2 linked regions of the Ovis aries genome follow. The protein of the gene in region 2 binds, or shares a complex with, the protein of the main gene of each other region. Links are inferred from orthologs where the notes say so. Each region holds a gene or a part of one and is shown on either strand. Other genes may lie near its edges.

Region 1 (2,527 bases), on a different chromosome or scaffold from region 2:
CCCCCCCCCCAAAGACCTCTCCCCTCAGATCCAGGAATCCAGGTTCCCAGACCCAGGCCTTGTTCCCCTCCTCTGGGGAACTAGGAGTCTCAGTTCCCATGTCCTGTCAATCAGAGACCCAGATTGCTGCTGCCTTTTGGGACTTCCCAACCTTTGCCTACCATCCCATCGTGAAGAGCTCACCCTGTTAAAAGCCAGTACTGAGGGGTGGGCCTTATCGTCACAGCACCCCCAAATTCCTCCCCGGGAAGGGCTCGGACACTTCAGGGTAGTCAGGGTCCTTGTCTGTCTTTTCCCCTTCTGTGCAGTGTCGCTAAGACTTTCCTGATTTTGCCTGTCTATACTTGCCTTCACATCCCACCACCACCCATTCCCTTTGCCTTCTCTTTCCTACCCCTGTCTCCCACCTCTCAGTCTTTCTGGTCTCTGCCTGCCTGGACTTGTCTCTGGATCTCTCTGCCCAGGCTGGCTGGCTGTCCTTCCATCTCCTTCTGTCTTTCCGAGTGCCGTTCCCTTGATCCTCCATCTCATAGCTGCTCTCTTGGTCCCTTTCCCCTCTCTTTTCTCTCTTCCTTCCCTTTTCCTTACGTCCTCTGTTGCTCCCATTCTCCCTCTCTTTCCTCTTCTCTGTCAGTCTTTGTCCTTCCCTCCCATGGTTGCTTCATCTCTTTGTGTCTCTGCATCTCCCCATCGGTCCCTCCTCTGTTCCTTCCCCTGTCTCTCTTTCTCTGTGTCTCTGGCTTCTGCTCTGATGGTCCTTCCGCCTGTCTCTATTTTTATCCCTCTGACACACCCCCTGTGTCCACTTCTCTGTCTGTCTGTCTCTCCCCCTCCCGATTCTCCTCAGGTCCCAGCTCTTGGTCCCAATTAGTGGGTGGCCGACAAGGCAGCCGCTGGCCCCCCACCCCCGGCTCCTCATTACCGCTGGCAGCTCCTAATGAGCCTGGGGTGGGGGTGACCCGGTGCCCCCGGCCCCCTGGTCTGCGTCACTGGCCGCTGCGGGGGCTGTGGAGGCGATATAAGGGGGCTGCCAGCCTCGCTGCCGGGAGCCCACTGCGCGGTAGGGCACCCTGCAAATTGGCTTTGGGGGTGGGTGGGTGGATGACGGGGTCTGGTTTCTGGGCCCAGACGCGGGCATCACTGAGCTCTTCTTGTCTCCCCGCAGGTGATGGAGGCCCGCCAGGTACCCAGGAGCCCCCGGGTGCGGCTGGTGCTGCTGCTCCTGCTTCTCGTGTCCTGGGGCCACCGCACGGCCTCAGGAGTCGCCCTGCCTCCCGCGGAGGTCTTCAGGTGAGCTGGACATCCAAGTCTCCCAGGGAAGGGTGGGGACTCGGATAGGTGGAAAGAGACCCAAAGAGAATGGGGAACAAAGACTCAGAAAGGGGAAATAGAGACCCAGAGAGGACAGAGGTGGGAGGTTAACAGGTAGGTAATCTGCAAAACAAAGAGATACAAGAGAATTCTGAGAAAGGCTTTGAGAGACTTGAAAGGAGTCGAAGCAGGAACGAGTTTGTTCCTTGAGCAACGTTTATTGGGTCTTTGGTGTGTGCCACGCGTGCGCCGAGCGCTGGGGCCGGACAGGGGCATCAGACTCGGTCTCTGTACTCAGGAGGCTCGGAACCTGGTGAAAACTGAGCCGAAGACCCACACAGAGCAAGAGACGGGGACAGAGACCGAGTCCCTTCGCAGCTGGTGCAGTCACAGGGCTTCGAGTTAGACCGCGGGGAGAACAGGCGGCGGGCCGCGGGCCGGGACCCACAGTAACCGCCTCTTTCCATCTCCCGGCAGACTCCACACCCCCGGCGGGGCTCGGGAGGGTCCGGCCGCTCCGCAGTCGCGGCGGAGCCTGGCGCTGGCGGACGACGCGGCCTTCCGGGAGCGCGCGCGGCTGCTGGCCGCCCTCGAGCGCCGCCACTGGCTGAACTCGTACATGCACAAGCTGCTGGTGCTGGACGCGCCCTGAGCGCCTGCTCGCCCCACCTCAATAAAGACCCTGCTGTGCCTCCCGACTGCGCCTCCTTCCTGCGCCTCGTGTGCGTGTGGTGGTGGTGGGGTGTGTGTGTGTGTGTGTGTGTGTGTGTGTGTGTGTACACGTGCAGGGGGCGGGCCCTGCGTCCGCTACGCTGACGTCTACCCCTCCGTCCCCTCTGTTCTCATCTTTCCCTCCACTCATTCTTTCTCCCCTCTGCCCCACCTCCTCTACACTACTGCCCCAGCTCTGCCCCTTGCTCCCACTCTGTGCCTTTGTCCCTCTCCACTCGCATACCTGCTCCCAACCCACCCTGAATCTCCATCCTCCCCTCTTCTCTCACTCTCTGTAACCTCCCTGGTCTCTGTCCCCCTCTGGGTCACTGGCCCTTCTCTGGATCTCTATAGCTCACTGGGTATCTGTCCTCCTCTCTCGGAGTCTCTATAATTCTCTTCCTTCCTCCTGGCTTCCCGGCCCTCTGGGGATTCTTCGTCTCCTTTATTCTTCTTTATGCCTAAAACTCTTCCTTTTCCTGAAAAATAAGGAATGCTTGGCAAA
Region 2 (4,235 bases):
TGTGAAGGATTTGACCAACAAGGGATTAATTTCTAAAATATGCAAATAGCTCAGACAGCTCAGTATCAGAAAATAAACAATCAATCAAAAAAAATGGGCAGAGGACCTAAACCAACATTTCTCCAAAGAAGATATGCAGATGGTCAACAGGGACAGAAAAAGATGCTTAAAGTCAGTAGATCTGGGTCTGAAACCATGTTCTCTCAATCACTAGTTGTGTGACTTTGGGCAAGTCAATCTACTTCCATGAGTCACAGTCATTTGTAAAAAGCAGGACAGCAATAAGATTTACTCCATAAACTTTGTGGTGAGGATTAAATAGGTTAATGTGTGTAAAAACCTAGCAGGATATGTGTACCCAACATGCACACAATAAATATCTCACTGCTACAATATACTGACTTGTCAAGCTCAGTGAAGTTCTGGGGCTACATGCTGATCTCTGTAGGTTTGAAGAAGGGACATTTGACTGATTCCTGTAAACAAAGTTAGATGCTAAGAGAACATTTTAAAAAGTGACTCAAAATGTATTTTTAAAACAAACTTTAATTTATCCCACATGCCATTGGGAATACAGTAATAAAACAAAGAAAAACTAATAAATTCAGTGTGACCATCACTATAAATGATTACAAACAAAATCTGTTTGCAGACATAAGCTCACTGACCAAGAAAACCTTGTGTTAAGGCTTACAAGAGAGTGAAGACTTGAGATTTGGCTGGTCACAGAGGGGACATTCAAAAGGAGGAATATGTGCAATATTCTTTTTTGAATAATTTCCCTTTTTCCTAGAATGAAACAAGTTTCTCACACATTTATTATTTTAACAAAATCCAGACAATTTATCTTCCAGTGTGTACTTGTTCTGCACTCTTTAATCTTTCAATGTACATTTTTAGACCCTAATTGTTCCTATGCACAGACAAAATGAATGGAATGATAGAAGTCCCTTAAAGTGGAAAAGAGAATACTGATTTGTTTAAAGGCAAATGTCACACACCAAATGATCTTGATCATATTTACAGTGATATTTACAAGAGAAAACTAGAACCAAGCAACTGAAATGTTTCTCTACCCAAAAAGAGCAGAAGAATGAACATCACAGAGCAAGTACTGCACATCAATTCGAAAAGAATTTGATGCCAAAATAAGGTAATAAACTGCTCCACTGACTTTCTCCTTTTGTGGCTTTAGTATTTACAGGAGTCAATTCTTGGCGCCTGAAAATGGGCTGTGAACACCGGAGCCCTGCCTGCTCACAGGCCTAGCTCCTTTGACACAACGAGATGAACCAGCTCTTCAAAGACACAGATATGGATTCACAGAGCATCCTCGGTTTCTCCTTGGGTTCCTTCCAGACCTGTGTTAAATTCTAATGGCCTGGAAGACTCCTCCATTAGAATCTCATCTCCCTGCCTCCCGCCACTTTCCTTGGTCTCTTCATGGATCAATTGTGGTAGGCAGTCCTGCTCCGAGTTACTCCAGACGTAGCCAGGTAAAGTCACGTGGCTGTCGGGCTGTCGGCTGGCTTGTTTGGCTGCTTTGCCTGAGATGAGCACCACGCGCGTGCTGGCCGCCATCTGCGACTGACTGCTGGTGCTGTGCGTCAACGTGGTGAGCACGGAGCCGTATCTGTGGCCGCCGCACGGGGGCGTCCTTTTCCAGTCCGCGGAGAGATTCCACCGACTCCACAACTTCTTCACCTCAGACTGAACCTAAACGCCACAAGGACCATTTCATGCATCAAAAACCTTCAGAGGCCCTGCAACCTTATTGGATGGATATGTGCCCTGACTTCATTGATAGTAATAATCACTAAATTTCCACTGTATACCAGGGACTTTACATATACAGTTGACACTTCAACAACACAGGGATGAGGGGTGCCCACCACCTGCAGCTGAAAAATTCCCTATGAATTCTCAGTTAGCCTATATCTAGAGTTTCACATGGGTGGACTCAACCAACCCCAGATGTGTGGTACTGTAGTGCATATATAGTGAAAATGTATATTTTCAACTCTGTATTCTCTCAACCTCTTCCTGAGAGGTGTTATTACTGGAGATGAGCAAACTGAGGTTTAGAGAGAAGCAAAAAGATTTGTCCAAGGTTAGTGCTTTAATAGAAGTTGAAATGCAGCCAGTATAAATGGCTCATGGGAGAGGGAGAAAAAGGGATCTGGGCTGGAGGAACAATATGGATACATAGTGCCAGCTGAGGCTGTGGAAGGGCATGGAAGCTGCTTATCTGTGAATGGAACTGTAAACCTATCACTCTGCACAAGCATAATGAAGGAGAGCAACCGGGAGGAGGACTGGACTATGAAAAGTGGGCACTGCAAGGGCATTCTTAGCAGGGTAGGGCTCTTGTTTCCATTCTTGCTGTTGAAGATTGCATTCTGCTACTGCAACTTTCCAGAAGGGAGCTTTTTGAGAGTTCCATGGGAAGCAGTAGAAACCTGATAAGCTGACGTCACCTAGAAGATTGGTACCATTCTTTCTCTCCAGGCAATTCCTAAATGAACTGAAATTGTCCCATCACCATCAGGTAGTTTTAAAAATGTCACAATGTTCTAATGGGTTATTCCCAGAGAGTTATATTTGATTTTCTTACAGAACTTGAAATTAAATGTAAGTTGAAGCACTGACTGGAATATGATGTTCACTGTCCTTCCAAGTATCAATCTGCATTCCAACAAATTGGATTTCTGACATCAAGGTCTGCAACTGAACTGACATTGAAAAGTGCTGGAAGAGGAAGACCTTGGCTTATTTACATCAATTCTTGGTTTCTCAAAATAATTTATGATGAAAATATCTTCTTTCTCCCTGCCCATTCTTTCCTGTAACCCCTGGAGATTCTAAAGAGATTCAGGTCATATTGTGATAGCAATTTATACTCAGAGTTAGACCTACAGGAGGTCTGGGGTTCCTTCAAACTTACCTCTCCATTGCAATAGCAGTAGATGATAGACACAAAGAAACCCTGGAAGAGAAAATAGAATGTTTTAATTAATTAATTTTAATTATGAAGATTATAGCACTAAAGCATCTTGTGTCAAAATGCATATGTTGAAAAACAGGGTTTTTTTAAATGATTCCTCCAGAAAATTATACATTATTCTCTCCTAATATTTCAAAATCCTTAAATATACATGAAATTTGTCTGAGATCTTTCCTTGGTATCAAATTAACCAAATAAATAAATAAAATACTTCAGGATACATGAATAACTGACTTTTATCATGTTAATTTCATGTTTGCCATTCAGAATCACCGAACATCCCCTAGCTGGTAAGTGAAATTTATACACTGTGAATGTTGACAACTGTAGGCATAGGGTATATTATAGCGAAAACACAAACTTTTTTTCCCACTCATTCAAAAATATTTGTTGACTTTACACACTGTGAAATGCTCAGTGTTACAGAGATAAACAATTTAATCAAGACAGATAAAGTCCCTGTTCTCTTACAGCTTATATTCTGGAAGAGAATACAGATGAATAAAATATAAACAAATAGCCACAGAGAAGAATGTAAAATGATGAGATAAAGACTCTTCAGGCAAAACAAGTGGTGTTGGAAGAGAAGAGTGGAGAAGATCTATCAGAGGGGGAACTCGATGAAGACCTCTCTGAGAGGGTGACATTTAAGCTGATTTGAGTGCGAAGAAGCCAGACAATATGAGTATTAGAGGGAAGAGCATTCCAGGCAGAGAAAACAGCAAGTACAGCCCCTGAGGCAGAGGTGAACCTGAGGAACGGAAACTGTGGGTGAGCCAGTGTGGCTCAGACCTAGTGGGCAGCATGGAACATGGTGTGAGGTGAGGCCACAGCTGGGCAGGGTCCCTGCACCGTAGGGCTGTGCACACAAGGAAACAGTGTTTGGATTTCATTCTGACTGCAATGAGAAGCCTCTGGATATGTTCAGCTGATAAGTGACATGGTCAGATTTATCTTTAAGAGTCTTCAGACTATTCTATGAAGACTAGGTTGAAGGCAGGAGGTGGCAGCAAATGAGTAGCAGGAAGAAGAGTTAGGAGGAGTGTGTAGCCGTCCATGTGAGGGATGATAGTGTCGTGCTTTCTACTGAGATCAAATGTATGGAAGCAACCTCTTCCTCTTTCTTTTCTCCCCTTCCCTTTTTTCCCCTCACCTGCCTATCCTGTCTTTTGTTTTCACTGATTTCCATACACACACACAGATTCCTGCTCCAACAGGGTTACATATGTTA

The links.
Region 1: the proteins of PTH2R (region 2) and PTH2 are in contact, whole or in part, in a cryo-EM structure (PDB 7F16), measured with the Homo sapiens proteins. The link is inferred for Ovis aries from reciprocal best matches to the Homo sapiens genes PTH2R and PTH2. Residues at the interface, in NP_005039.1 of Homo sapiens: Thr31, Ile32, Ile34, Gln37, Ile38, Asp68, Gly69, Leu70, Ile90, Tyr91, Asp92, Phe93, Met112, Lys117, Ala120, Tyr122, Leu126, Gln130, Pro131, Ser134, Lys137, Gln138, Phe141, Glu142, Tyr152, Arg190, Ile194, Lys197, Val201, Ile205; in NP_848544.1 of Homo sapiens: Ser62, Leu63, Ala64, Leu65, Ala66, Asp67, Asp68, Ala69, Ala70, Phe71, Arg72, Glu73, Arg74, Ala75, Arg76, Leu77, Ala79, Ala80, Leu81, Glu82, Arg83, Arg84, Trp86, Leu87, Tyr90, Met91, Lys93, Leu94, Leu95.

The regions. Positions count from the first base shown.
Region 1 is NC_056067.1:55,618,268-55,620,794, reverse strand, and holds PTH2 (tuberoinfundibular peptide of 39 residues), read left to right. Parts: upstream 1-1,168; coding exon 1,169-1,290; intron 1,291-1,788; coding exon 1,789-1,963; 3' UTR 1,964-2,001; downstream 2,002-2,527. UniProt on the Homo sapiens protein: Plays a role as a potent and selective agonist of PTH2R resulting in adenyl cyclase activation and intracellular calcium levels elevation. Induces protein kinase C beta activation, recruitment of beta-arrestin and PTH2R internalization.
Region 2 is NC_056055.1:210,573,728-210,577,962, reverse strand, and holds the end of PTH2R (parathyroid hormone 2 receptor), read right to left. Parts: intron 2,987-4,235; coding exon 2,945-2,986; intron 1,717-2,944; coding exon 1,321-1,716; 3' UTR 529-1,320; downstream 1-528. UniProt on the Homo sapiens protein: This is a specific receptor for parathyroid hormone. The activity of this receptor is mediated by G proteins which activate adenylyl cyclase. PTH2R may be responsible for PTH effects in a number of physiological systems.